Danio rerio: one gene and its partners. The protein of the gene in region 3 binds, or shares a complex with, the protein of the main gene of each other region. Links are inferred from orthologs where the notes say so. Each region holds a gene or a part of one and is shown on either strand. Other genes may lie near its edges.

Region 1 (7,893 bases), on a different chromosome or scaffold from region 3:
GGATGGTTATCTCCTTTCATCAATTTATTCAAACACACAGTGGATTGATCAACAGGAGAAGCTGGTAATATTCTTGGCTGACTAACTAACTAACTAACTAACTAACTAACTAACTAACTAACTAACTAACTAACTAATTAACTAACCAACCAACTAACTAATTAATAACTAAATCCATGAATTTAATATTTGTGTATTTGAAATGTCAAATATTTGCATCTAATTTTCTTACAGTTTTTCTCAGTCGCTTTAGTGCATTTCTCACAACACCAGTACATTTCTGCACAACAGTTATTGCATTTCTCAAAACAATTAAACTGCAAAACCTAGCTGATAACCTGCAAAAGCGCGTCACATGCTCAAAATGGATAGTTCATTCCTCAAAAGCAAGTATTGATGTCAATCAAAGTGTCAGTATCATCAAAATGAAAAGTCCTGACACCATTGTTTATGAACAAGATAGTCAAATGGCTTTGTCATGTTTTCATTATGTCAGTTTACTCTGGACATTTTTTCAATGCAAAAAAGTCAGATTTTGGTGACACTTCCTGAAAATGCTCAAGACAGAACTTAATACTATTTGCACAGCCATTTGAAAACTACAGCAAAGTTTGACAACAGCTTTTAGTGAGGTATCCGATTACAAGACACTGAATATGTATGTTTCACATTTTTACTGCACATGCTCGTTGCAATTCTAATTTATTCACAGCATTGTGCAAAAGAATAAACACACCCTTATGTACAACAAGCACAAGCTTCCTTTGGGTAAAACAGGGCACAACTGTAAACAATATTGCAGAACATATTGGAACTGGACCTACAACAAACACAGGTCAGTAAATCATTCATGAAATTGTTCAATTTTAAAGACATTTTCAGGAAAATAAAGATACATTTTTTTTTAATAAAATTTGCTAGATAGATTTTGATAACTAGTTCAACATTTTTGTATGTAATGACTCAAGTAATGAAATGAGGACTATTAGTTTTATATGAAATGACTTTTCAGCATTCACAAGTTTAGTTACAGTTTTTCTCAGTCGCTTTGGTGCGTTTCTCACAACACCTGTGCATTTCTGCACAACAGTGAATGCATTTCTCAAAACAATTAGTACAAACTGCAAAACCTAGCTGATAACCTGCAAAAGTGTGTCACATGCTCAAAATGTTCATTCCTCAAAAGCAAGTATTGATGTCAATCAAAGAGTCAGTATCACCAAAATGAAAAGTCCTGACACCATTGTTTATGAACAAGATAGTCAAATGGCTTTGTCATGTTTTCATTATGTTAGTTTACTCTGGACATTTTTTCAATGCAAAAAAGTCAGATTTTGGTAAAACTTTGTGAAAATGCTCAAGACAGCACTGTATACTATTAGCACAGCCAATTGAAAACTACAGTAAAGTTAGACATCACTGCATTTAGTGAGTGTATCTAGTACAAGACACTGAATATGTATGTTTCACATTTGTTCTACATTTGCTCTTTACAATTTGAATTTATTCACAGCATTGTGCAGAAGAATAGACGCACCCTTTTTTACAACAAACATAAACTTTCTTTGTGTTGAACTGTGCACAACCGTAAACAATATTGCAGAACATATTGGAACTGAACCAACATACATACACAGGTCAGTAAATCATTCATGAAATTGTTCAATTTAGAAGACATTTTCAGTAAAATAATTTTTTTTTTGATAAAATTAGCTTGCAAGATTTTGACAACTAGTTCAACATTTTTGTATGTAATGACTCAAGTAATAAAATGAAGACTGTTAGTTTTATTTGCAATGACTATTCAGCATTTACAAGTTTAGTTAATTTGGACTGACATGACATTAGCAAATGATAATGTTATAAACAGCAGAGAGTTGTATGAAAGCAATTGATGCATGTCCAAAAGCATTTGCAGTTTGTTGAAAGGAATGAGAAACTGCTACTATGTGCACAAATGACTAATTGTTTTGAGAAATGCATGACCTGATGTGCTAATGTAAATAGTGTTGTGAGAAATGCACCAAAGCGACTGAGAAAAACTGTAACATACAGTGATTGTTCCATAATGACACATTATTAAGACTGTCTGAAGTTATGTTTGTATAGCATTTTCCAATACAACAAAACCTGCTTATGAAAATTGGAAAGTTTCAGTGGAATTTTAGATAATTCAATGTCACATAAAAAAAAAAAAAATTTTACCTTCTTGTTTTTTAAACAAATAAGATGGGATTACAAACCAATAAGAATCCTCATTTTTTATCTATCTAATTAGCTTCTAATAAATAAGTGCTAGAATGTGCACCAATAGTAGCTAAAGCATAAGCAATAGTGGGTTATAAAATGTATAGGTACTTAATGGAAAAGTTTAGTATTTAAAAAACATAAGTACTAGCTGCATTAAAGTTTTCAAGACAGCACTATATATACACTATTTGCTTGGCCATTTGAAAACACCAGTAAAGTTAAACATCACTGCATTTAGTGAGGTATCTGAGTACAAGACACTGAATATGTATGTTTCACATTTTAACTGCATTTGCTCTTTACAATTCTAATTTATTCACAGCATTGTGCAAAGGAATAAACACACCGTTACAACAAACAAACTCACTTTGGGTAGAGCTGTGCACAACTGTAAACAATACTGCAGTACATATTGGAACTGAACCTACAACATACACAGGTCAGTAAATCATTCATGAAACTGTTTAATTTTTTAGACATTTTCAGGAAAATAAATATTTTTATAAAATTTGCTTGACAGATTTTGACAAATAGTTCAACGTTTTTGTATGTAATGACTCAAGTAATGAAATGAGGACTATTAGTTTTATATGGAATGACTATTCAGCATTTACAAATTTAATTCATTTTGACTGACATGACATAAGCAAATGATAATGATATAAACAGCAGAGAGTTGTATAAAAGCAATTGATGCATGTCCAAAAGTATTTGCAATTTGTTGGAAGGATTGAGAAAATGCTACTAGGATGTGCACAAATGAGTAACTGTTTTGATAAATACATTAACTGTTGTGCAAATGTAAATACCCTGCTGAAAAAAACAGCTTAAACCAGCATAAGCTGGTTGGCTGGTTTTAGCTGGTTGACCAGCCTGGTTTTAGAGGTGTTTTTGGCCATTTCCAGGCTGTTTTTTTCAGCAGGATAGTGTTGTAAGAAATGCACCAAAGCGACTGAGAAAAACTGTAAATGTGAAAACGTCTGGCGTTACATGTAAAACGAAAGAAAGTCATCTTACTCGTTTCTATCGCTAGATGGCAGTGTAATTCTTCTCCGTTGCGTTTCACATCGGTTTACCAGCAGGAGAAGTCACGAAGAAATGAAACATGGCGGACTCGGATGGGAGACAGGTTGACAGCATCAACCATGCTACAGGTAAAACATAATATTGCCAACTTTCTACGTGTGCTGAGACCGACGTGAACATGTACACAAGCAGTCGTTTACAGTCACCAACAGAGAGCTTGTGTTACGGCTCGTTCGGTCGCTTGATCGCCTCTGCCATGACACAGCTGACTTGACACATCCATACAGTGGAAATTACATCATGCTGTTTTGCCATTTGGAATGTATTTATGCTGACCTCTAACTGCATAAATTGATCACATTATTCCAAATTGTGTGTAACGCGATATTTTTTCAAGACAAAGAGAATCTTTATGCAACGTTTTTAGTTTGGTAAAGATCGTGTGCCAGCATGATGAAATAACACTGCAAATTCAGTGTCGAGGGGTTTTCTGTTCTCGTAGACCTCATTACTTCAAACTTAAACCGCCTTTTCTCTGTAAATGACTATAATCTAGCAAATTTAACCTTGATATACCTTTTAAATATCTGTTTGTTTGTGTCATAGGTGAAGAAGGGAAGTTGCAAGATATTGTAAAAGCAAAGGTAGGTCTTTTTTATTATTAATATTATTATAAATTCACTATATTTTATACCATATTTTATTTGTATGTTATTTTTCAAATCCATTGATTGTTTCTTAAAAAGTACTTAATATTTAAAAAAATTAATTGTCCAAATGTCCTAAAGAGATGCTGTCCTGGACAACATTTTAGGCTTTACTAGAAATAAAATGTTTTTTTAATGCCCAAAGTGCAGATTTGATTTTTAAGACATGCCACATTTGTTTACAGGATTTCTGAATTTAATAATAAATTGAAACTGTGACACTTTTTTTTTTTACTTATAGAGTGAAGGTAAGGAGTTGACCAAAGAAGAAAAGCAGCGTCTTAGGAAAGAGAAGAAGCAGCATAAAAAGAATAAAAAAGATGACAACAAGGGTCCTCCAGAGAAGGAAAAGGAGAAGGAAAAAGAGAAAGCATCTGCTCCACCTCCATCAAAGCCTGTCACCCAGAGCCCGGCACATAAAGGTACCTCAGTGTGAAAACAAAAGTGTTCTCAATTTTCATACAATGCAATTTTTATTAAAGTTAATTTAATATCGATTGAAATTTGAAATAACTTGGTATAATTAAAGGAAATTTATTTATGTGTTTTTCTGTCTTATTAAGACTAGTTTAATATTTACAGGGAAGAATGGAGTTAAAAACATTTATGCAAATAGAGTCCCCCCCCCTCGCAAAGAAAATGTTGACCCTGACCCTGATTGTATAAGTCTATATACAAAAAACTGAAATAATACTAGTAGAGCTTAATAAAATGAAGCTGTTGCAAACATTATAAACATATTATAGTTCCCCTCATTGCCAGTAGAATAGTAAAGAAGATTAATAGTCCTAAAAGTAAAAGGCAGTCTACACTTTGAGTAAAAAAAAAAAAAAACAAGAAACATCTTCTTTGGAATAAAAGTCATGGCACATTTCAGATAATTAAAAAAAGGCAACTTATGTTTTTGAAAATACAATGTCTGTTTTGATGCTGCTATTTTTATTTCTTAGCTTAATGGAGTTTTTTAATAGCCTTTTAATCTACTCTATGGTCTATTTTGGGGTGCTGTTTTAACTGTCGGACCCTTTGATGTCAGCAGCTGCTCCAGCACCTGTAACTGCATCTGCATCTGAAACTCCTGCGGCTGCAGAGAAGCCTGCAAAGACCAAAGCAGAGCTGCGAGCAGAGCGACGGGCACGGCAAGACTCAGAACGAGCATCAAAACAGGGCAAGAAGGAAGGTGGTCAACAATCCACCTCCAGCAAACCTAAAGCCTCCCCCAATGAGCTCCAGCCAGGTAATTTATACTTGCGGACCTTACTCTTCAACCTGACCATACCGTTATAATATTGTAATTGATGTTTTTGCAATTTTATCGAGCTTGTTGCAAAAAAAGAATGAAAACACATCTCGTGCGAGCAAATATTTAGGTGTTATAAGTAGGGATATGGACTTTTGGGCCGATATCGATAACTGATAACCATACAGGTACTCCGAAAGTGGCGAGAGCGTCAAAGTAGCCCGAAGTTATTCATTTTCAATGAGAGCCAGTGGCGAGGAGCAGCGTGGCGCATCTTTACCTGTGTAGCCGTTCTTTCTCTGTAGCCGCAATGTTTTGAACTTATTTGAATGCATTCGTTTACTGGATCTTTGGACTGAAAGGTTTACGGGGTTTCACTTGTTTTTAGAAATGTCTGATCGTAAAACCTGCAACTTTTTATTTCTAAGGTATTTTTTTTGGTTATTATGTACTGATTCAAATTACTGATTCAAATTACAAGTCGGGCGCAGGTGCAATCATCGAATATATTCAATGCAAGCCAGCGCCACGGTATTCACTGCATCATCACTGTGACACTTATTCACATATGACTGGATGTGGTGTCATGATTTTGGCTACTGCAGGACACTACTGAATGATGCGCATCAGAGGGGATTTAGAAGTGGTAGGCTATACTATACCTGAATCAACCCATTCTCACGAATTGCCTGCTTATACACTCCAATACACCATATTATCGTCATTTTTGATTGCGACTTGTAAAAAGCATTTACGTCCTTGTCCTTTTTTAATGAGCCATTTTCTGAAGCTTTAAATGCACCATGCGCATATCTAAACGAATGCTGCAATAGACACCTCACTTTTCATGTAATAAACACTTTATCCGCGACACACACTCTGCCAGCTTTAATTTTTTAAAGTAATTTTAGGTTATACGTTTACATAGGAGGCAAAGCAGTGGCGCAATAGGTAGTGCTGTCTCCTCACAGCAAGAAGGTTGCTGGTTCGATTCTCGGCTCAGTTGGCGTTTCTGTGTGGAGTTTGCATGTTCTCCCTGCCTTCGCGTGGGTTTCCTCCGGGTGTTCCGGTTTCCCTCCGGTTTTACTTTTGGTGCAAAAAAAAGGCCTGAATTATTGAAAGTGTTAAAATATTCTTTCAATTTATTTTATAACTATGAAATTTAATTAATAAACAAAGTAAAGCATTAACTTGCCAAGAAATGCTCCACTTTACCACGGTAAAATAATGCCCCCACTCATGCAATACTAGAACCTGGTCTATATAACCATGGAAATATGTGTACACACAATAACACCAAAGTTGCGTACTTGTAAAATAAACAAAATGAACAAGATGCACTTTCTCTCATGCAGCCTCTGTAAAATGTAGCGCTTCGCAGCAATGAATTGGCTACTTGATGAAAAGAAATGCATGCAGCTTCGGCAATCTTCATATTTTTCGGCATATTTTCCACTGACTGAGAATAATGCAGCACTATTTTATTAACAAATTATTACAATTCTTTTTTTCCCCCCGATTTTATATATATATATATATATATATATATATATATATATATATATATATATATATATATATATATCCATCTATTTTTAGGCACCGACACACCTGTGGCTACGCCCCTGTTAAAAAGGAATTATAAGTTTGATCCTATCCTAATGAGCGCCATAATGTATTTATTAGTTGTCTGCAAGCATCAGTGTTTATTGAGATTGAAATAATAAAAAATAAAATAAAATTGAAAATGAGATAAAAAAATATTGTTATAGCAACCCTTGTGACTGCTTTGGGAAATAACACTTGTCGTAGATGTCACAGGATGACTGATCGTTAAGGAACGTGTTGTCTGGCACATTTGTTACCCACGACAGGTCAATATTTTATCAAGAAAAAAATTGCATAATCTGACAAAGTGACCTCCGTAACCGGCAATAAAAATTAATAAAATAAAAAACATTAATAAAAAGTAATGTACATATGTACAAATACGTAATGTCCAAAAAAGTGTTTTGATCCACCGTACAAGCGAAAAGCTAAAAACAGTTAGTATTACTTTAGAAAATGCTGCTTAAATGCATCCTATTTGGCATTTTAGATTCTTTTCAACACGTGTAGTTGCTGCTTTTCAATCAGACAATGCTTCTATGTTCATTCTTGCTGTCAAATGCGGTAAAAAAGATTTATGATGAACTGCTGTAAGTATCAAACATTAACTGCAGCCGCTGTGTAACATGCAGCGCTCCTGAAAGTTTGGATGGGGTGGTGGAATTTTTTCGCTTTTCTAAACCTAAAACCCAAGGGGAGAAAGGCCAGCGTGGATCAAGCTATGTGAGAGGCCGTAAAAGCAGCACAACCCAGTCATATTTCCTTTTGTTTCAAGCTACGATTATTTAGATTACATATCAACAGAACAAAACGGATATGATCACAAACTGAGCATATAATTCAACTGCAGCTGTCCATGTCAGAGCTACAATTTTTTAGAAACCTTTTGGAGATTTAGCCATTGGTAGGCCCACACGGAATCTGTGCGCACAAAAATCTGCAGATTTTTAGCCCATCATCGAGTCTATTTATTTACTCCTGTAAATGTGTGTAAATTTATATATATTCCATTTTTAAATTAATTTTAGTAATATTATTGACTAAAATAAAAGTGATAATTTG
Region 2 (7,865 bases), on a different chromosome or scaffold from region 3:
TCCAAATCAAGCATCGGTTCACACTAGTTCACATCCAAATCAAGCATCGGTTCACACTAGTTCACATCCAAATCAAGCATCGGTTCACATTAGTTCCCATCTACATCAAGCATCAGTTCGCACTAGTTCACATTTAAATCAAGAAACGGTTCACATTAGTTCACATAATTTCACAACCTTATCAAGCATCAGTTCCCATCTACATAAAGTATCGATTCACATTAGTTCCCATCCACATCAAGCATCGGTTCACACTAGTTCACATCATTTCACATTCACATCAAGAATCTGTTCACATCTATATCAATTATATCTTCACATTAGTTTATATCCACATCAAGCATCAGTTCACACCCACATCAGGAGTCGGTTCACATGCACATCAAGCATCGGTTTACAATCACATCTATGTCAAGTATTAGTTCACATTAGTTCACATCTAAATCAAGCATCAGTTCACAGTAGTTCACATCAAGCATAGGCTCACACCCACATTGATCCACATCTATATTATCCAGTTTCAGTTCACATTAGTTCACATCCACATCAAGCATGGGTTCACACTAGTTCACATCCAAATCAAGCATCGATTCACATTAGTTCCCATCCACATCAAGCATCGGTTCACACTAGTTCACATCCAAATCAAGCATCGGTTCACATTAGTTCCCATCTACATCAAGCATCAGTTCACATTAGTTCACATCCAAATCAAGCATCGATTCACATTAGTTCCCATCCACATCAAGCATCGGTTCACACTAGTTCACATCCAAATCAAGCATCGGTTCACACTAGTTCACATCCAAATCAAGCATCGGTTCACACTAGTTCACATCCAAATCAAGCATCGGTTCACATTAGTTCCCATCTACATCAAGCATCAGTTCGCACTAGTTCACATTTAAATCAAGAAACGGTTCACATTAGTTCACATAATTTCACAACCTTATCAAGCATCAGTTCCCATCTACATAAAGTATCGATTCACATTAGTTCCCATCCACATCAAGCATCGGTTCACACTAGTTCACATCATTTCACATTCACATCAAGAATCTGTTCACATCTATATCAATTATATCTTCACATTAGTTTATATCCACATCAAGCATCAGTTCACACCCACATCAGGAGTCGGTTCACATGCACATCAAGCATCGGTTTACAATCACATCTATGTCAAGTATTAGTTCACATTAGTTCACATCTAAATCAAGCATCAGTTCACAGTAGTTCACATCAAGCATAGGCTCACACCCACATTGATCCACATCTATATTATCCAGTTTCAGTTCACATTAGTTCACATCCACATCAAGCATGGGTTCACACTAGTTCACATCCAAATCAAGCATCGATTCACATTAGTTCCCATCCACATCAAGCATCGGTTCACACTAGTTCACATCCAAATCAAGCATCGGTTCACATTAGTTCCCATCTACATCAAGCATCAGTTCACATTAGTTCACATCCAAATCAAGCATCGATTCACATTAGTTCCCATCCACATCAAGCATCGGTTCACACTAGTTCACATCCAAATCAAGCATCGGTTCACACTAGTTCACATCCAAATCAAGCATCGGTTCACACTAGTTCACATCCAAATCAAGCATCGGTTCACATTAGTTCCCATCTACATCAAGCATCAGTTCGCACTAGTTCACATTTAAATCAAGAAACGGTTCACATTAGTTCACATAATTTCACAACCTTATCAAGCATCAGTTCCCATCTACATAAAGTATCGATTCACATTAGTTCCCATCCACATCAAGCATCGGTTCACACTAGTTCACATCATTTCACATTCACATCAAGAATCTGTTCACATCTATATCAATTATATCTTCACATTAGTTTATATCCACATCAAGCATCAGTTCACACCCACATCAGGAGTCGGTTCACATGCACATCAAGCATCGGTTTACAATCACATCTATGTCAAGTATTAGTTCACATTAGTTCACATCTAAATCAAGCATCAGTTCACAGTAGTTCACATCAAGCATAGGCTCACACCCACATTGATCCACATCTATATTATCCAGTTTCAGTTCACATTAGTTCACATCCACATCAAGCATGGGTTCACACTAGTTCACATCCAAATCAAGCATCGATTCACATTAGTTCCCATCCACATCAAGCATCGGTTCACACTAGTTCACATCCAAATCAAGCATCGGTTCACATTAGTTCCCATCTACATCAAGCATCAGTTCACATTAGTTCACATCCAAATCAAGCATCGATTCACATTAGTTCCCATCCACATCAAGCATCGGTTCACACTAGTTCACATCCAAATCAAGCATCGGTTCACACTAGTTCACATCCAAATCAAGCATCGGTTCACATTAGTTCCCATCTACATCAAGCATCAGTTCGCACTAGTTCACATTTAAATCAAGAAACGGTTCACATTAGTTCACATAATTTCACAACCTTATCAAGCATCAGTTCCCATCTACATAAAGTATCGATTCACATTAGTTCCCATCCACATCAAGCATCGGTTCACACTAGTTCACATCCAAATCAAGCATAGGTTCAAACTAGTTCACATCATTTCACATTCACATCAAGAATCTGTTCACATCTATATCAATTATATCTTCACATTAGTTTATATCCACATCAAGCATCAGTTCACACCCACATCAGGAGTCGGTTCACATGCACATCAAGCATCGGTTTACAATCACATCTATGTCAAGTATTAGTTCACATTTGTTCACATCTAAATCAAGCATCGGTTCACACCCACATTGATCCACATCTATATTATCCAGTTTCAGTTCACATTAGTTCACATCCACATCAAGCATGGGTTCATATCTATATCAGGTATCGGTTCACACCCTCATGAGTTCACTTCTATATCAAGTATCAATTCTCATTAGTTCACATCCACATCAACCATCGGTTCACATCAGTTGACTTCCACATCAAGAACCAGTTCACATTCAAATTAAGTATCAGTTCACATTAGTTCACATCCACATCAACCATCGCTTCACATCAGTTGACATCCACAACAAGAACCAGTTCACATTAGTTCACATCCATATCAAGTATCGGTTCACATTAGTTCATATCCAAATAAAGCATCAATTCACATCAGTTGACATCCACATCAAGCATCGGTTCACATCTATTTCAAGCATCAGTTCACATCCACATCCCAAGCCGAAAATCAAACAGCACAAACTCACTCTGATCCCTCTTCAGGAACTCAAGCAGTGATCGAATCGCAGCCACCGCTGAAGCCACATCTGGATCTTCCCTGATCTGCCCACGGAAATACTCCACCAGTTCTGGAAGAGAGAAATACATATTCAAATAAATTACTGACTTCCACTGTTGAATTGTTTTAATTCCCAATCTGAAAATATCAGGGTATAAATGTAAACGTTTTGCATTTTTGTCTTTGTAATTCTGTACCTTCGCTGTTGAATTGTTTGGTGAAAGTAAGCTGTGTTGGGTAAGAAAAGTACTTAACTTCAAATTACCTAACTGAAATTGTATTTAAACTTCTGCTGGATAACAATACAGTATAAAACTAAACTCATATAAAGTGTAAAATATATTTTAGATAATTATGTTTATAATTATGTTTATAGTCTTTAGTACTAGCCGATGAATTAATTAATAATAAACTGAACCTTTTGGTAAAATGTTAGACTTACAGTATAGTATAGTAAAGCTATTCATAATTTTGACCACAAATAACTACAATTACCAACAATTTAACAACATTGAAACATTTAACAACATTTAACAATTACTCAGACATTAAATAGCGAGTGAACAAAAAAGTCAAACCCTAAAATTAATAAAGAACAGCTTTTATAACACACACTATGAGCAGCTATAATCATCTGTGTAAACATCATGACTCTTGCACCTTTAAATAATTAAATAAATGAAATATTATTAATCTCCTGATCAACAAAGTCTTTAGATGTTCCCATAATGCATTAGCTATACATATATACACGTGGAATCACGAAATGTTCTCAATTATTATTGATATTATGTGTGTCAATCAAACAGGTCGAAAACAAGCACAAATGCCTTGCGTTACCAACCAACATATCAACATAATTGATCATAATATAATTCAAAATGTAATATAAGATGCTCAGGAAAGCAAAGCAGCTACGCAAATAACTCAGAATCATCTCTGAATAATTATTAAGTGTGTTCTGTCTTGTGTTGTTGTCAAACTCACCTCTTTCCTCCATTTTAAAAGCACTTTCTCTCTCAGAGATCTGTCAAGTTTTGAGTTTCACGAGCTAATAATGATAGTGTCGCTGATGCAACGATCTGTCATGACGCTCTCTGACATCCAGTACGACGAATTGTTTAAAGTTTGTCTACAAAGTAATGCTTGCTTTACCCATTTATTTCATACGATCCCTTTCAGAAACTGAATAACATCTATTCTTCTAGTGTATTTCAAATGAAAGGCTATTTACAGTGAACAAGTGGACATGCTCACTTTCTTCTTCTTCGTTGTTTTATGTCGAGTGAACAGTCGCTTCATGTAGCGCCGCTGCTGGACAGCAGAAAAACAGCAGGATCATTTGTTTAATTCTCTACTACAGGGTTATTCAAACTGTATAATAACACAATTAAAATAATTATCAATCGAATCGAATATTTTTAAAAATATTATTACGGCATATAAATAAATTAGTACAAAAAAGAACTAAAATTAATTTATATTAATAATTGTTGTGTGTATAAGGAATAAATTTAGTACTTTAATGAGTAGGAAATACATTAATTAACGTAACTTAATAGAACACAATACGGAATGCATAATAATATACTGCTAATGATATATATATATTTTTTCAAAGTAAAATAATAAAATTAAATGTTATAAGTATAGACATATACAAACTGTGAGCTTGTAGAGTTTAATTTCGGTGCCTGAAAAAAAAAGTTTAGTTGTCTCTGCAAGATAAATAAATATAAAATATAATATTGCATATGGAATGCCGGAGGATAGTGAGTAAAATAAAACAAAATAATAATAAAATAAAATAATAATATTAATAATAATATAAAAAAAGAGTGATAAAATAAAATAAAATTAAATAAAATTAAATAAAATTAAATAAAATTAAATTAAAATAATGTAAAATTAAATAAAATAAAACAATAAAATAAGATAAAAAGTAAAAGGAAATAAAATAAAATAATAAAATAAGATAAAAAAGTTAAATAAAATAAAATAAAGTAAAGTAAAAAAAATGAAAAATAAAAAATAATAGTAAAATAAGATAGGATAAGATAAGATTAGTTAAAATAAAAAAATGAATTGAAATGAGATAAATAAAATAAAACAAAAATAAAAAAATTAAAAAAATAAAATCAAAGAAAATAAATCTAAACTAAACTAAATATTGTGATTAGAAGGCCGAAGGATTGTAAATAAAATAAATAAAAATAAAAATAAGAAAACAAAAATAAATAAAACAAAAATAAAATAAAAAATAAATAAAATACAGTAAAAAAAATATAAAAATAAAACAAAAATAAAATAAAACGAAATAAAATAAAGAAGGAAAATTAAAAAATGATATTTTTTTTCCTGCACCAGTACAGCAGGTGGCGCTACACTGAGTTCAATCTCTCCATTAAATAAACAGAAGAAGATTTAAGCATGAGTCCAAACAGCACAACTTTCAACATATTGAAGAAAACAGCAAAGAAATACAGTTTTATATCAATTTAGAGACGCCGGAATTGCAGCAATGGCTTCGGGTTTGTAAATCACACAAACACCATTAATGAAACGTTTAACGGTTTTTCGATCTCTCGGGTTTCTCTTTGTGTAGGAAGAAGATGAAGATGCTTCAACAATAAACATACAAAAGATGATGATGATAATAATAATAGCGCTTGCTGATGTTTTGCAGACGATGATATTAATATTCTGGTCATAGTGCTGGATGTGAATCCTGTGTGGTGGGGTCAGCAGGCGCAGCGGGAGCCAAAGGTCAGTTTAATATTAATTCATTAATATTTAAATTTATTTTAGGTAAAGTCTATAAGAGATACAGCTGCGTTTACTCCCGTCATTATACACTCACCGGCCACTTTATTAGGTACACCTGTCCAGCTACTCATTAACGCAAATTTCTTATCAGCCAATCACAGGGCAGCAACTCAATGCATTTAGGCTTCAAGACATGCTCAGGACGATCTGCTGCAGTTCAAAGCGAGCATCAGAAAGGGGATTTAAGTGACTTTGAATGTGGCATGATTGTTGGTGCCAGACAGGCTGGTCTGAGTGTTTCAGAAACTGCTGATCTACTGGGATTTTCACGCACAACCATCTCTAGGGTTCACAGAGAATGGTCTGAACAAGAGAAAATATGCAGTGAGCGGCAGTTCTGTTGGCACAAATGCCTTTTTGATGCCAGAGGAGAATGGCCAAACTGGTTCCAGCTGATAGAAAGGCAACAGTAACTCAAATAATCACCCGAGGTCTGCAGAAGAGCATCTCTGAACACACTACACGTCCAACCTTGAGGCGGATGGGCTACAGCAGCAGAAGACCACACCGGGTGCCGCTCCTGTCAGCTAAGAGCAGGAAACTGAGGCTACAATTCACACAGACTCACCAAAACTGGACAATAGAAGATTGGAGAACCATTGCCTGCTCTGATGAGTCTCCATTTCTGCTGACACATTCAGATGTTCGGGTCAGAATTTAGAGTCAACAACATGAAATCATGAATCCATCCTGCCCTGTATCAATGGTTCAGGCTTGTGGTGGCGGTGTAATGGTGTGGGAGAGATTTTCTTAGAACACTTTGGGTCCATTAGTACCAATTGAGCATGGTGTCAACACCACAGCCTACCTGAGTATTGTAGCCTACCATGTCCATCCCTTTATGATCACAGTGTCTCCATCTTCTGATGGCTACTTCCAGCAGGTTAAGGCACCATGTCATAAAGCGTGAATCATCTCAGACTGGTTTCATGAACATGACAATGAGTTCACTGTACTCAAATGGCCTCCACAGTCACCAGAGCTCAATCCAATAGAGCACCTTTGGGATGTGGTGGAGCAGGAGATTGGCATCATGGATGTGCAGCCGACAAATCTGCAGCAACTGCGTGATGCTATCATGTCAATATGGAGCAAAATCTCTGAGGAATATTTCCAGTAGCGTGTTGAATCTATACCATGAAGGATTAAGGCAGTTCTGAGGGCAAAAGGGGTCCAACCTGGTACTAGTAAGATGTACCTAATAAAGTGGCCGGTGAGTGTACTGTTGTACAACAGTAATGAATACTTTTCAGGTAGTTTTAGTGTTGGGGTGAGGAGGATGTTGATACATAAGTAACATGAATAATATTCTGTATAATTACGGTGTTTACATTACTGTGTGGGTTGGGGTTTAAGTAGATGTTAATAAAATACAATTGATAGGTCATTATTACATAAATAATATAATAAATTCTCATTTAAACTTCTGGCCGCAGCTGTTTCCCTTCTAGCAGCAACTGTTTATTCACTATAATCCACCATGTTTGCACTATTATCGCTATTACCAATACAGGTGAACAAATAACTTGTTATTTATTTTCCTTCAGTTCACCCTTTCAGCATGTTTGGACAGTTTGATGGTCCTGGCAAATGCTCATTTGGTCATGTCAAGGACCAACAAACTAGCCGTCATCGCCAGCCTGTATCACGAAAGGTAAACATAGACAATTAATTTTATATATCAGGCATATTATCAGTCCAGGGGTTCGTTCTTCGTACGTGGATTACTCAATTAGCTGGATTTGGGTATTGACGATTTGACACGATCCAGGATCGTTTC
Region 3 (7,140 bases):
ATCATTCGAGATGAAACGATTATTGCATCATATACCGCCCCCTTTCCAGTTGTACTCATTTGTTGCTCTGCTAAGCTCAGTTTCACGTGAAAATGACTAAAAGCATGTATTGTAATGTAACTTTTGCAGCACGGGATGCGCATCATTCATTGGTGTACATTCTAATCATTCATGTTTCTAAAACCACAAAAGGGATCACATACTGTTGTGTGTATGCGCCCAGCCTCAGAAACGAGTAGAGCACAAACATCTAGTCATCTTAATGTGAGTGCTTTAATGGTCAAATACATGCAAATTCGTGTCAAAACGAGGTGTTTTGTGATTATTCATATTAATCCTCATTTGTGTAATAAACGAGTTGAGAATCATGTGAATTTAGACATGTGAAAGTAAAACCATAAATCAGAACCGCACTGCTCTTAAAGTGACAGCATGCAATATTCCTGCTGCCGACTGTTTTTAATATTAATCAAACAACAAAAGGAGAAAATCACTCACTGCTCTTGACTGAAGGAATTTTTAGTTATAATTTTTTTCTAATAAAAAAGTTTTTTTCTTACAGTAAAGAACGATGCTTGAGACGCAATTTGTTTAATATTTTTACTCTATTGTATTTATTTCCCTTTACTTATTTACAGGGAGAAAATTAACTGTATATATACAGTTAAAGTAGGAATTCTTAGCAGCCCTTTATATTTTTCTCCTAATTTCTGTTTAGCGGAAAGATAGATTTAATAACTCATTTCTAATAACTGATTTCTTTTATCTTTGCTATGGTGATGGCAAATAATATTTTACTAAATATTTTTCAAGATACAAGCATACAGCTCAAAGTGCAGTTCAAAGGTCTTAACTGGGTTAATTAGGCAAGTCATTGTATAACAATAGTTTCTTCTGCAGAAAATCTGAAATAGGCTTTAAAATATTTAAACCAGCTTTTATTCTGGCCAAAATAAAACAAAATACTTTTTCTAGAAAAAAAAATATTATAGGAATTACTGCGAAAAATTCATTGCTCTGTTAAACATCACTTGGGGGAAAAAAATTGATGGGCGAATAATTTTGACTTCAATTGTATATCGTTTTGAATAATCGTGATTTCAATTATGTCCAAAATAATCATGATTATGAATTTTCCCATAATCGAGCAGCCCTAATACCATCCGCATTTTACTTTTCATTTTTACAGCGAATCAGTTTGAGTAAATGCAGACAATGCAATTATTTTTATGTTTTTATTTTATTTATTGTTTTTTTAAATTACCTATAACATGTCAAGTATCACTCGCTCACTTTCCTTCTGCTTAATAATACATTTTATTTTTAATTTGCTTTTCTTAGACTTAAAGTTCTACAAGGCAAAATACCAACCATAGCAGAAACAGCACAACAATAAAAAGATGCAATAAGAATATGAACCATAAAATGTAATTAGCATTTGTTTACAGGTGATGGAAATTATTATTGTAATAAGAAAAAGTTATTATAATACTTTTTCCACTTTTCACAAGAACATTTAAAATGTAATTTTGCCTTTAACAAGATGCTTGTTATTTTCCATTTTTGACAAGGATATATGGATAAATAATTACATTTAAAATAAAGCAATCGTTCAGTAATCAAAATTGAGGTAAAATGTTTATTTAATGGATGTTTTAATTTTAGGTCATATCGCCTGGCCCTAATTTTGTAGAATGTTATAAACTGGTAGTCTTTGGCTTTCATGGTTTTCTTTTCCTACTATTGATGTCAGTGGCTAAGGATTTTCAACATTTTTTTTAAAATGTCATTGTGAAAAAACTAACAAGCAATTACAATAGAGGTTGAGTAAATGTAGATATGTTTTTGTGTCAACCACCTCTTTGTGTTTTTTTTTTTTTTTTTTTTTGTAGGGATCCAGCTATATTAGATTGTCTGGAATTGACAGAGGAGGAACGAGCAGTCCTGATTGATAACATCAACAGACGCCTCACTCCACAGGCTGTCAAAATCCGAGCAGACATTGAGGTGGCCTGCTATGGGTATGAGGGCATCGATGCAGTGAAGGAGGCTTTGAGAGCAGGACTAACATGTTCAACAGAGTGCATGCCCATCAAGGTAAAAACTAGACCACAAATTATTTCAGATATGTCAGTTCATTCATATATAACATCCCTGAAATTTGATGTCCCATATTGAGTCTCTGTATATGGACCATTCATACATGCAGTTAAAGTCTGAATTATTTGACACCTTGTTTATTTTTCCCCAATTTCTGTTTAACGGAGGGAAGATTTTTTCCAACACATTTCTAAACATAATAGTTTTAATAACTCCTTTCTAATAACTGGTTTACTTTATCTTTGCCATGATGACAGTAAATACTATTTGGCTTGATATATTTCAAGACACTTCTATACAGCTTAAAGTGACATTTAAAGGCTTAACTAGGCTAAGTAGGTTAACTAGGCAGGTTAAGGTAATTTGGTAAGTTATTGTATACCGATGGTTTTTTTGTTTAGACTATCGAAAAAATTATAGCTTAAAGGGTCTAATAATTTTGACCTCGTTTTTTTTTTTTTTTCTTAATTGCTTTTATTCTAGCCGAAATAAAACAAATAAGACTTTCTCCTGAAGAAAAAATATTATCAGACATACTGTGAAAATGTCTTTGCTCTGTTAAACATCATTTGGGAAATATAAAAAAAGAAAGAAAAAAAATCAAAGGGGGGCTAATAATTCTGACTTCAACTGTATTACATTCATGTTTAAATATTTGAACACTTTATTTATTTGTTTTGTTTTGATAAGGTGTTACACTGATAATACTGGAAGAATCATGGAGGAATAAAGAATGTAATTTGTTTTGTAGTGTGGTATTTTATATTATTATATATACTGCATGATAAGAAAACATACATAGCAAATAGTCTTTAAAAATGTGGTCATAATGACAAGATAAATCAAGTTATTAAATTACGATGTAGTAATTACACAGAAGCAAAATTCTTTCTATATCAATTTTCCTGAGTAGCACATTAATATAATATCAGTATTGTGCAATTTTTGTTTTGAACCCAAGATGTTTTATTTTGTCAATGAAGAAAGTTTAAGAAAAGGATCAATTTGTGTATCTCAGTAAACATTGCAGTATTTAGTTGTGGACTAAATCTGTTTTTACAGGGCACCTATGATCACAATCATTATTTGTAAGCTGTTTGGACAGAACCATTTGTAGGAATAGTGTGTCCACAGTCATATTGGAGTGATAGAGACACAATAATTCTTTTGTTTTAATTTTCTGACGTTATATATAGGATCCAAATCCCTCACATTTTGAGGCCGACCGTAATGTAGGAGTGCTGTTTTCCCGCCCACCGAATTGATTGACATCCGCGTTTTAACATGTCTCCTTACTAGTAACGTGTATAATCATATCCACAAGACAAGATGTGCGCAAAGCAACTGCAGTTAAAAGATCTGTTCAGCTCTGTGTTCAGCAGCACCTCAAGAAAGAATTTTACAGGATTTAAACATTTATAAAACGGTGCATGTTTGTACTAAAGACAGTACAATCACTGTGTAGTTCTTCACCACAGCCGCGTGTCAGTACAATTGCGGACCATTGATAAATCAGGAGGAAAATTAATAATGTTTTTATTGCAGATCAACTTGATTGCTCCTCCTCGATATGTTATGACCACGACCACACTGGAGCGCACAGAGGGCCTTTCTGTGCTCAATCAAGCCATGGCCGTCATTAAAGAGAAGATCGAAGAGAAGAGAGGCGTCTTCAACATTCAGATGGAGGTCAGAATTTAGCATTTAAAATTCACTGTTTACTTACCCTCAATTTATCCAAACTTTTATGATTTTTTTTAAAGAATGCAGTAAACCATGTGTATGTATGTTTTAAGTCTATTTTTTAAAATGTCTAATCCATAACGCTGGAATTGCTTAGCTTTGCACATGCTGGGCAGTTCACAGTGGAAATCTGATATTGGCCACATTTAAAACAACAAAGTGAAGAGCTATGCAAAATAAATAAATCCCTCTCTGATTATTTGACTTGTTTTAATGCCCCTGAAGCCAAAAGTTGTGACGGACACGGATGAGACGGAGCTGGCACGACAGTTGGAGCGGCTGGAGAGAGAAAATGCTGAGGTGGATGGAGATGATGATGCAGAGGAAATGGAGGCCAAGACTGAGGACTAGTCTGAAGAAAGACGACAAACCAGCAGTGCTATAATCATTCCAGAGACTTCAGAGTTATAGTGAAGGGGTTATCACATCATGAAGACTGAAAAAAAACACTGCTTCTGTGATACTAAGCAGATTGTGAGTGAGAGATGTGGACTACATTGATGTACTTTTGCTTATCGGATGAGAATCGTGAGAGGAATTTCTTCCATGAACACTAGTTTTACTTTAGGAATGTTAGTACAGATAGTATTGTAGTTGATTTAAGTGACCTTCGTTTCCAGCTTTATTCAAGATGAGATTTGTGGTAAAAAAAAACAAACAAAAAAAAAACAAGCAAAACTGAAATCTTTATAGACAGCCAGCCAGTTTACTTATCAAAAATCTGTTCCACAGAGCTAATAAAAACAAGCAGTTTTCATGTACATTTTGTCATGTCTCTTGTTCTGTGCTGCTGATTACATCAAAGATTATTCAAGATGATAACTTCTCTCACTTGGATGTATTTTTCTAAACAGGAAAGTGGTATATTGGCAGATATTGTTTCTTTTGTTACAATTTGTAACAAATTTTTAAAAATGTGTAATTTTATTATTATTATTATTATCATTATTATTATTAAGAAATAAGAATAAATGTCTGGGGGGCTCCAACTATTTTTGGTAGTATATTGTAAAACCCAACAGTCAACTTTCTGAAATTAAATGAGTGTAGTTAACTCAAACTTTGAAATTTATTTTGAAAAGAGTTTGAACTGTGTTGAAGGTAATGAGTTAATTAGATACCTCATTACTTCAACTTAAATTGAGTAAGTTAACAGTACTCATAAAGATTAGTTTTTTAACTCAAAGGTTTGAGTTGATTTAACTTGTTGGGTTTTACAGTACTGTTGGTTTAAGTTCTCTTCATTTATATTGTTTTGCTGTGCTCAAATATCTTCGTTTACTCAAATGGATTAAGTTCACAGTACTCATTAGGAATAGTTTTTGAACTTTTATGGTTTGTTGCACTCAGCTTCCTCAAATGGATTGAGTTACCTTAACTTTTTGGGTTTTACAGTGTAGTTTGGTCATACTTGCTTCAGTGAATCAGATTTATGAATGTGTTTAAATCAATGTTTTAAGGGATATTTAGTGACTTTTAGAGGTTATTGGTCAAACTATACAAACTGTCTTTTTTTCGCTACATGCAGATATAAAGACCTGTTTTACAAGAAACGTGTTTTGTGAATATTTAAGATGTCTATCAGTGCTCTGGAACTGCCAGTTTCGGGTTGAATCATATTTTTCCTAGCATTGATTGGCGCATTTATGCATTCACAATGGTATGAACTGTTATTGGGGGATCAAATGTAAATGTATATAATACATTTTTAATTATTAATACTTCAGATATAGATCCGAGATCAGAGAAAGCTATTTCTTGCTATTTAAGGGTCTACTTCGTTTCAAACAACTTTTATTATACTTGCTCCCACCAGGAGATGGCGCTGTTGTATCACACGTCAGGATGTAAGCAGGCCCATTTAATGGTTACAAACATTCACTTAAACCGTATTTAAGAGCTATTTTATTTATCTTGCAGCTTTCAGAGGAGAAAAATGTTTTTCAGTCTGTGTCGTCTGAAGCAAGAGCAACTTGAAGAGAGTCCCATACATTTGCATCAGGTCAGCCAGTGTCAGCTATTTTTTTCCAGAAACACAGATGCACCTGAATCAAAACTACTAACGTTAATCGTGCTGTAGGTTTCTGACTCAGGATTTCTAACTTTGATTTTGTATATTGTAGAAGATTTGTGACAAATTAATCATAAGTATTATAAATAATAGCTGTAACGTTACATTTGTAACTTTTGCATCCAATCACTTCACTAAATGCATTTCATTTGATGTTATTCATTATGAGTGTGTTCTAGTTATATTCTTGAGCTGCTTTGTGTGGTAACGTATGCTTATAATGCGATTAATGTGCCTCGTAAACAACGTTATATAATGTGTTGTATCATCTCATGAATAATCATATTACAGGAATAATACCAATGTAGTAATGACCACAATTTAATCCTCCTTAATTTGAATGGCTTATATGTAGTTGCACATATTGGCATTGTCTATTTAAAATCTTAACAGTACGAAAATGCAGCTTGTTAAGTGACAAAACCTATTACAGCTTAGTAACATTTTAGTAAGATAATCAATCCTTACTTTCAATCCGTAAAGTAAACATTTTTTTTTATATTTTAAATGAGGGAAATATACATGCAATATAAATGTGACCAAAAAAGTGCGAGTTTACAGTGTACTACAAATCTGTGACTTAAACTGCACAACCTAAAAGAAACCATGCTAATCAAAAGAATAAGTGTTGGCTCTCTATAGACTTTTTTGAATATTTTTAAAGAACTGTAAAATACTTGCTTACGCACAAAATGCAGAAACGGTTTTAATATTTTGGCGAAAACTTATCTTTTTTCATTGCAAGGTTGACATTTGTATGGAATTGCTCACTTATTTATACTTTAGGATGTTCTGTTAGTTAATTAGTTATGTAGTTAGTTAGGTAGTCCATGTTCTACATCCTTTTTGATCCTAGTTCAATGTCAACTATTATACCATCTGCAATAAGCACATTAGAAGTTGACTAAAGCTAATGGTGCATGTTCTCCACTTTCTGAAGTTTTGCTCTTGTTTCCTCTTGGTGCTTCAGTTTTCCCCACAGTCCAAAGACATACGGTACAGGTGAATTGGGTTGGCTAAAATTGTCCGTAGTGAATGAGTGTGAATGGATGTTTCCCAAAGATGGGTTGCGGCTGGTAAGGCATCGCTGCGTAAAACGTCCTGTATAAGTTGTGGGTTCATTGCGCTGTGGCATACAAAAATGTTACATACAAAAAGACACCACTTTTATCAAACTGTTCATTAGAAGATTTAGAGCAAAAATATGAATAAATAAATACACAAAT

Evidence for each region. The genes of interacting proteins can lie anywhere in the genome.
Region 1: the proteins of eif2s1a (region 3) and eif2b4 are in contact, whole or in part, in a cryo-EM structure (PDB 6O81), measured with the Homo sapiens proteins. The link is inferred for Danio rerio from reciprocal best matches to the Homo sapiens genes EIF2S1 and EIF2B4. Residues at the interface, in NP_004085.1 of Homo sapiens: Met30, Tyr33, Met45, Arg55, Arg57, Arg75, Glu79, Lys80, Tyr82; in NP_001029288.1 of Homo sapiens: Asn245, Glu246, Glu247, Arg250, Thr285, Ser520, Ser521, Asp522.
Region 2: the proteins of eif2s1a (region 3) and eif2b1 are in contact, whole or in part, in a cryo-EM structure (PDB 6K72), measured with the Homo sapiens proteins. The link is inferred for Danio rerio from reciprocal best matches to the Homo sapiens genes EIF2S1 and EIF2B1. Residues at the interface, in NP_004085.1 of Homo sapiens: Ala28, Glu29, Met30, Tyr33, Gly44, Met45, Leu47, Leu48, Arg75, Lys80, Tyr82, Ile83, Asp84, Arg88; in NP_001405.1 of Homo sapiens: Gly39, Thr41, Ile42, Gln43, Gly44, Leu45, Arg46, Ala47, Asn48, Glu70, Arg74, Ser77, Ser80, Leu81, Glu82, Tyr83, Ser84, Asp85, Tyr86, Cys89, Leu305.

What each region holds. Positions count from the first base shown.
Region 1 is NC_133195.1:21,987,671-21,995,563, reverse strand, and holds the start of eif2b4 (translation initiation factor eIF2B subunit delta), read left to right. Parts: upstream 1-3,347; 5' UTR 3,348-3,355; coding exon 3,356-3,404; intron 3,405-3,882; coding exon 3,883-3,920; intron 3,921-4,224; coding exon 4,225-4,405; intron 4,406-5,019; coding exon of another isoform or gene 5,020-5,022; coding exon 5,023-5,220; intron 5,221-7,893. UniProt on the Homo sapiens protein: Acts as a component of the translation initiation factor 2B (eIF2B) complex, which catalyzes the exchange of GDP for GTP on eukaryotic initiation factor 2 (eIF2) gamma subunit.
Region 2 is NC_133180.1:75,664,975-75,672,839, forward strand, and holds the start of eif2b1 (translation initiation factor eIF2B subunit alpha), read right to left. Parts: upstream 4,547-7,865; 5' UTR 4,260-4,546; coding exon 4,247-4,259; intron 3,330-4,246; coding exon 3,228-3,329; intron 1-3,227.
Region 3 is NC_133192.1:35,958,675-35,965,814, forward strand, and holds the end of eif2s1a (eukaryotic translation initiation factor 2 subunit 1a), read left to right. Parts: intron 1-1,892; coding exon 1,893-2,097; intron 2,098-3,645; coding exon 3,646-3,789; intron 3,790-4,068; coding exon 4,069-4,194; 3' UTR 4,195-4,604; downstream 4,605-7,140. UniProt on the Homo sapiens protein: Member of the eIF2 complex that functions in the early steps of protein synthesis by forming a ternary complex with GTP and initiator tRNA. This complex binds to a 40S ribosomal subunit, followed by mRNA binding to form a 43S pre-initiation complex (43S PIC).